Linked DNA regions of Macaca mulatta. Each later gene encodes a partner of the first gene's protein in a complex. Links are inferred from orthologs where the notes say so. Each region holds a gene or a part of one and is shown in the gene's direction. Other genes may lie near its edges.

The links. Proteins that work in one complex are often made in the same cells at the same time.
Region 2: the proteins of F2 (region 1) and THBD are in contact, whole or in part, in a crystal structure (PDB 1DX5), measured with the Homo sapiens proteins. The link is inferred for Macaca mulatta from reciprocal best matches to the Homo sapiens genes F2 and THBD. Residues at the interface, in NP_000497.1 of Homo sapiens: Phe382, Ser385, Pro386, Gln387, Leu423, Arg425, Thr432, Arg433, Tyr434, Arg436, Asn437, Glu439, Lys440, Ile441, Met443, Lys470; in NP_000352.1 of Homo sapiens: Ser424, Cys425, Glu426, Cys427, Tyr431, Ile432, Leu433, Asp434, Asp435, Thr440, Asp441, Ile442, Asp443, Glu446, Asn447, Gly449, Phe450, Asp479.

Annotation. Positions count from the first base shown.
Region 1 is NC_133419.1:18,870,576-18,874,075, reverse strand, and holds part of F2 (prothrombin precursor), read left to right. Parts: intron 1-232; coding exon 233-538; intron 539-860; coding exon 861-989; intron 990-1,072; coding exon 1,073-1,199; intron 1,200-2,339; coding exon 2,340-2,507; intron 2,508-3,006; coding exon 3,007-3,180; intron 3,181-3,500. UniProt on the Homo sapiens protein: Thrombin, which cleaves bonds after Arg and Lys, converts fibrinogen to fibrin and activates factors V, VII, VIII, XIII, and, in complex with thrombomodulin, protein C. Functions in blood homeostasis, inflammation and wound healing.
Region 2 is NC_133415.1:60,998,216-61,002,226, forward strand, and holds the start of THBD (thrombomodulin precursor), read left to right. Parts: upstream 1-1,211; 5' UTR 1,212-1,262; coding exon 1,263-2,975; 3' UTR 2,976-4,011. UniProt on the Homo sapiens protein: Endothelial cell receptor that plays a critical role in regulating several physiological processes including hemostasis, coagulation, fibrinolysis, inflammation, and angiogenesis.

The DNA of each region.
Region 1 (3,500 bases):
GGTTTATTATGTGCCAGACACTTACGCTGTATATTTTGTTTAATCCTCTCAACAAGCCTGCAAGAGTGGCATTAGTAACCCCTTTAAAGGCAGACAGACAGAAGCCCAGAGAGGTTAAGTAACCTGAGGTCACACAGGCAAAAAGCAGCAAGACTGGGGTTCACATCCCTGTCTGTTCCGGTCCATGTGTGGTCTCACTCACTCTGCTGCCTCCTTACCCCTCACCCACCAGGCCAGGATCAAGTCACTGTAGCGATGACTCCACGCTCCAGTGTGAATCTGTCACTTCCATCGGAAGAGTGTGTCCCTGATCGGGGGCGGCAGTACCAGGGGCACCTGGCAGTGACCACACATGGGCTCCCCTGCCTAGCCTGGGCCAGCGCGCAGGCCAAGGCCCTGAGCAAGCACCAGGACTTCGACTCGGCCGTGCAGCTGGTGGAGAACTTCTGCCGCAACCCAGACGGGGATGAGGAGGGCGTGTGGTGCTATGTGGCCGGGAAGCCTGGTGACTTTGAGTACTGCGACCTCAACTATTGTGGTGAGCTGCCTGGGTAGGGGCCTGAGATGCAGGGACGAATCCTGGTGGGAATAACAACAGTTGCTTCTGCTTACCGAACACTTACCGCGTTGAGTGTGCTCATAACAGCCTTACAGTAACCAGGTAGGGGTAAGGTCCTGCGCCCATTTCATAGATAAGTACATTGAGGCCCCAGGAGGTTATTGCCTAGTAGCCCAACTGTGCATGCACTCTTAACCTCTGCACCAAACGGCCTCCAAGGCCCACAGGGGAATTGGGGGGATCTAGGGGATGCGTGAGGAATGGCCCGGCCGAGTCCCAGCCGGTGCCCGGGTCCCAACAGAGGAGGCCGTGGATGAGGAAACAGGAGATGGGCTGGGTGAGGACCCAGACAGGGCCATCGAAGGGCGTACCGCCACCAGTGAGTACCAGACTTTCTTCGATCCGAGGACCTTCGGCTTGGGAGAAGCAGGTGAGGTAGTGGGCATCTGAGGGACGCGGGGCTGTGGGGCTGGTGGCCAGCACTTGCCCCTCACCGCTTGGCTTGCTCTGCAGACTGTGGGCTGCGACCTCTGTTTGAGAAGAAGTCGCTGGAGGACAAAACTGAAGGAGAACTCCTGGAATCCTACATTGACGGGCGCATTGTGGAGGGCTGGGATGCAGAGATCGGCATGTCACCTTGGTGTGTCCCGGAGCCCTGTGCTACCATTCACTCCTGGGGGCAGGTGTGCTGCTGGCCCCCCACCCTCCGGCCCTGCCCACAGGCCCGGGCTTTATAGATGACAACAGCTGAGCATCCAGGATCCCACCGACCCTGCACAGCAGCCACATGAGATGGGTTATTTCCTTCCTTTTTTTTTTTTTTTTTTTTTTTAAGGTGGAGTCTTGCTCTGTCACCTAGGCTGGAGTGCAGTGCCACAATCTCGGCTCACTGCAACTTCTGCCTTCCAGGTTCAAATGATTCTCTTGCCTCAGCCTCCTGAGTAGCTGAATTTACAGACATGCGCCACCACACCCAGCTAATTTTTGTTATTTTAAGTAGAAACAGGATTTTACCATGTTGGCCAGGCTGGTCTTGAACTCCTGACCTCAAGTGATCCACCTGCCTCAGCCTCCCAAAGTGTTGGGATTACAGGCGTGAGCCACCGCACCCGGCCCATGGGTGCTTTACTTCTAAGCAGATGGTAAAGCTGAGGCTCACAGAGCTGGTGGCTCACCTCCGCACACTGCTAATGGGTTTGAATCCAGTTCTTCTGATTCCAGAGCTGGGCTATGCTGTGTGAACTCTGGACTGGAAGGACCTAGTAAGGGAGTACAAAAAGCAGGAGGCAGGTCAGGTGCAGTGGCTCACCCCTGTAATCCCAGCACTTTGGGAGGCCAAGAAGGGAAGATCACTTGAGGTCAGGAGTTCAAAGCCAGTCTGGGCAAAATGGTAAAACCCTGTCTCTACTAAAAATGCAAAAATTAGCCAGGTATAGCAGCATATCCCTGTAGTCCCAGCTACTAAGGAGGCTGAGGTGGGAGGATTGCTTGAGCCCAGGAGGTTGAGGCTTCAGTAAGCTGTGACTGTACCATTGCACTCCAGCCTGGGTGACAAGAGTGAAACCCTGTCTCAAAAAAAAAAAAAAAAAAAGTGTGAGGCAACCCCTCAGCATCACATGGAGGCTCAAGGCCCAAGGGCAGCCAGCCCAAGCTTGGATCTGGGCCCTGGAGGCAGCTCTGCCCCGCTGGGTTCTTAGACCTGGGACTTGTTACTTCTAGGGCTGGTGTACAGGCAGCCCCCTCACCCTCAGCTCCTAATGCTTCCTGCTCCCCCTCCTAGGCAGGTGATGCTTTTCCGGAAGAGTCCCCAGGAGCTGCTGTGTGGGGCCAGCCTCATCAGTGACCGCTGGGTCCTCACCGCCGCCCACTGTCTCCTGTACCCGCCCTGGGACAAGAACTTCACTGAGAATGACCTTCTGGTGCGCATTGGCAAGCACTCCCGCACCAGGTACAGAACTGGTGGCCTGTGGGTGTCTGGCAGGGGTCTGAGTCCTCCAGAGCGACCATGACGGGCCCTGGTGGCTCCGGGACAATGGGATGTTCTGTATACCCCCAGAATATGACATCCCGGCAGTCTCTGCTGGAAAGTCCATTTGGTCATGTCCTGACTGAGGCTTGGAGCTAGAGGGGGGAAACCTGTCTGTCTCCTGGGCCCTCCAACACCAGGATATGGCCCATGTGGGAGTCTCCGAAAAGAGAGTCTGTCTGGACCAGGGTGTGCAGCCTGTGCCCTTGTCCCTGTCCTCCTGACTGTCTGACTCCAAAGCCCTGCACGGCTTTAGGCCCAGGAAGAAATGGCCAGGGGGCTGCCACGGCAGGAGCCAGCCCTATCCCCTCCCTGGTGGCCTGCAGGACACCCTGTCTCCCAGACCCCAAGGGCAGGCAGTTTCCTGCCCCTTGCTGGGTGAACCTGCAGCTTCTCCATTTCTCTCTTGGGGTCTCTGCAGGTATGAGCGAAACATTGAAAAGATATCCATGCTGGAAAAGATCTACATCCACCCCAGGTACAACTGGCGGGAGAACCTGGACCGGGACATTGCCCTGATGAAGCTGAAGAAGCCCATTACCTTCAGCGACTACATCCACCCGGTGTGCCTGCCCGACAGGGAGACGGCAGCCAGGTGGGCAACCAGACGCTTATCAGCTGAGGGGCAGAAGCCGAGTTCTGGGCCTGGCTCTGATACCAGGCAGCCTTGCAGAGCCCCTTTCCCTTTTCCAGGCCTCAGTTTCTTGGAGTGAACCCAAAAGTTCTTTTCAGCACTGGCGTTTTATTTTTTATTTATGTTAAAGAAACATAATAAATAATTTATTGACGGAGTTCTACTCTTGTCTCCCAGGCTGGAGTGTAGTCGTGCGATCTGGGCTCACTGCAACCCCTCCTCCCAGGTTCAAGCGACTCTCCTGCCTCAGCCTCCTGAGTAGCTGGGATTATAGGCTAATT
Region 2 (4,011 bases), on another chromosome or scaffold:
TCCTCCAGCCCTCCCCACCCTGCCCATCCACAGGACCGTGGCTCTTCAGTGCCCTTTGCCGAGCAAGTGATATTTCTATGCACCTCGGTATCAATTCGGCCTCTGGACGAAATGGAAACCTCCTTAGCCGACCCGGGTGGGATCCGCTGGGATCCCGCAGCGCCTCCCCCGGGGGCACTGCCAGCCACTCTGTTGAGGTGAGAGAAGCACGTCCCTCGGAAGCTGGACCGAAACTGGCCAGGATGACTTGCTCCCACGCGCCTGCTCCTACCCGGCGCCGCAGCAATCCACCTGCCACGGCCTCTGAGCGGGGTCCGGACCTCGGCGCCCTGACGGTGTCCCCGCGGCTTCCCCACCCGACGAAATGGAGTCTGGCGTTGACTCGTGCGTGCCCAGGGACTTGCGGGTCCCTGGCCAGCCATAGGGCAGAGGGCGCTGGTGTTAGGCCAGTCTTCCCCGCCCTGCCCCTTCACCCCAGCCACACCCACTGTCCTGTGAGGCCAAACGCTCCGCTGGTTTCCTGAGCCAGGCACCCAGGCCGGGGATGGGATCCAGCTGTTTCTCCTTGCGATCCTGTCTTTGGGGAAGTCCACGTCCTAGGCAGTTCCTGCCAAAGTTCCCTTGGTGCCGATCACCCCTCCCAGCGTCCTGCAGGTCCTGTGCACCATCTCCCCCACGCTCCATTCAAAGCCCTCTTCTCTGAAGTCTCCGGTTCCCAGAGCTCTGCAATCCAGGCTTTCCTTGGAAGTGGCCGTAACATATATGAAAAGAAAGAAAGGAGAACCAAGAGATGAAAGAGGTTGCACGCATGGGGGCCCGAGTGGTGGGGGCGGGGACAGTCGTGTCTCTACAGGGGTGCTGGCCTTCCCTGGCGCCTGCCCCTACCGGCCCCGCCCGAGAACTTCCCTGCGCCAGGGCAGAGTTTACTCATCCCCGCGAGGTGATCCCATGCGCGAGGGCGGGCGCAGGGCGGCCAGAGAACCCAGCAATCCGAGTATGCGGCATCAGCCCTTCCCACTAGGCACTTCCTTCCTTTTCCCGAACGTCCAGGGAGGGAGGGCCGCGCACTTATAAACTCGTGCCCCGGCCGATCCTCATGTCAGAGGCTGCCTCGCAGGGGCTGCGCGCCGCGGCTAGAAGTGTCTGGGCTGATGGACAGGAGCGGCTGTCGTCATCCGCGTCCTGCGCTCCTCTGCTCCGGCACGGCCCAGTCTCAGTGCCAGCGCTTTCCTCGGCGCCTGCACGCTGTGCGCCTGGGTAACATGCTCGGGGTCCTGCTCCTTGGCGTGCTGACCCTGGCCGGCCCGGGGTTCCCCGCACCCGTAGAACCGCAGCCCGGTGGCAGCCAGTGCGTGGAGCACGACTGCTTCGCGCTCTACCCGGGCCCCGCGACTTTCCTCGATGCCAGTCAGATCTGCAATAGACTGCGGGGCCACCTAATGACAGTGCGCTCCTCAGTGGCTGCCGATGTCATTTCCTTGCTACTGAGCGGCGACCGCGGCGTTAGCCGGCGCCTCTGGATCGGCCTTCAGCTGCCACCCGGCTGCGGCGACCCCAAGCCCCTCGGGCCCCTGCGCGGTTTCGAGTGGGTTACGCGAGACAGCAACACCAGCTACAGCAGGTGGGCGCGGCTCGACCTCAATGGGGCTCCCCCCTGCGGCCCGTTGTGCGTCGCTGTCTCCGCTGCTGGGGCCACTGCGCCCGGCGAGCCGGTCTGGGAGGAGCAGCAGTGCGATGTGAAGGCCGATGGCTTCCTCTGCGAGTTCTACTTCCCAGCTACCTGCAGGCCCCTGGCTGTGAAGCCCGGCGCCGCGACTGCTGCCGTCTCCATCACCTACCGCACCCCGTTTGCGGCCCGCGGAGCGGACTTCCAGGCGCTGCCGGTGGGCAGCTCCGCCGCGGTGGCGCCCCTCGGCTTAGAGCTGATGTGCGCCGCACCGCCCAAAGCGGTCCAGGGGCACTGGGCTAGGGAGGCGCCGGGCGCTTGGGACTGCAGCGTGGAGAACGGCGGCTGCGAGCACGCGTGCAATACGATCGCAGGGGCTCCCCGCTGCCTGTGCCCAGCCGGCGCCGCCCTGCAGGCAGACGGCCGCTCCTGCACGCACTCCTGCAACAACCTCTGTGAGCACTTCTGCGTTCCCAACCCGGACAAGCCGGACTCCTACTCGTGCATGTGCGAGACGGGCTACCGGCTGGCGGCCGACCAACACCGGTGCGAGGACGTGGATGACTGCTTGCTGGTGCCCAGTCCGTGCCCACAGCGCTGTGTCAACAAACAGGGTGGCTTCGAGTGCCACTGCAAACCTGGCTACGACCTGGTGGACGGCGAGTGTGTGGAGCCCGTGGACCCGTGCTTCAAAGCCAACTGCGAGTACCAGTGCCAGCCCTTGAACCAAACAAGCTACCTCTGCGTCTGCGCGGAGGGCTTCGCGCCCATTCCCCACGAGCCGCACAGGTGTCAGATGTTTTGCAACCAGACTGCCTGTCCAGCCGACTGCGACCCCAACACCCGGGGTAACTGTGAGTGCCCTGACGGCTACATCCTGGACGACGGTTTCATGTGCTCGGACATCGACGAGTGTGAAAACGGCGGCTACTGCTCTGGGGTGTGCCTCAATCTCCCCGGTACCTTCGAGTGCATCTGCGGGCCCGACTCGGCCCGTGTCCGCCTGATTGGCAAAGACTGTGACTCCGCCGAGGTGGATGGTGGTGACGACGGCTCTGGGGAGCCCCCCCGAGGCCCGACGCCCGGCTGCACCTCGAGTCCCCCGGCCGTGGGGCGCGTGCATTCGGGCGTGCTCATAGGCATTTCCATCGCGAGCCTGTGCCTGGTGGTGGCGCTTTTGGCGCTCCTCTGCCACCTGCGCAAGAAGCAGGGCGCCGCCAGGGCCAAGATGGAGTACAAGTGCGCGGCCCCTTCCAAGGAGGTAGTGCTGCAGTCCGTGCGGACCGAGCGGAAGCCGCAGAGACTCTGAGCGGCCTCCGTCCAGGAGCCCGGCTTTGGCGTGGCCTTTCTCTCCCTCCTGGGCCTCCTCACCCCCAGCTTTGCTACCCAAAGCACCTTAGTTGGCATTACAGCTGGAGAAGACCCTCCTCGCACCCCCAAGCTGTTTTCTTCGATTCCATGACTAACTGGGGAGGGAGTGATTAGAGAGAGGAGAATGAGCCTCGGCCTCTTCCTTGACGTCACTGGACCACTGGGCAGAGATGGCAATTTTGCAACGAAGACACAGACTGCGATGTGTCCCAGGTCCTCATCACTGGGCGCAGGAGGGTGAGCGTTATTGGTCGAGAGCCTTTTGGGCAGACCTTGACCTCGTGGGCTAGGGATGACCAAAATATTTATTTATTTTTTTAAGTATCTAGGTTTTTGTTTGTATCCTTTGTTCCTACCTGTATGTCTCCAGTATCCACTTTGCACGGCTCTGCGGTCTCTCCCTCTCTCTCCAGACTCCCACTTGTCATGTGACAGCTAAACTATCTTGGTGAATTTGTTTTTTTCCTAGCCCTCTCACATTTATGAAGCAAGCCCCATTTATTCCCCATTCTTCCTAGTTTTCTCAGCCCAGGAACTGGGCCAACTCACTTGAGTCACCCTACCTGTGCCTGACCCTACTTCTTTTGCTCTTAGCTATCTGCTCAGACAGAACGCCTATGTGAAACAGAAACAAAAACACTAAAAGTAAAAATGGCCATTTGCTTTTTCACCAGATTTGCTAATTCATCCTGAAATTTCAGGTTCCCAGAGCGAAATAATTTTAAACAAACGTTGAGATGTAACAGGTATTAAATTGATGTTGCTGGACTGTCGTAGAAATTACACCCAAAGAGGTTTTTAATCTTTATTTTTAAACAGTGAGCCTGAATTTTGTTGCTGTTTTGATTTGTACTGAAAAATGGTAATTGTTGCTAATCTTCTTATGCAGTTTCCTTTTTTGTTGTTATTACTTGTTTTTGACAGTGTTGAAAATGTTGAGAAGGTTGCTCTAGATTGAGAGAAGAGATAAGCAC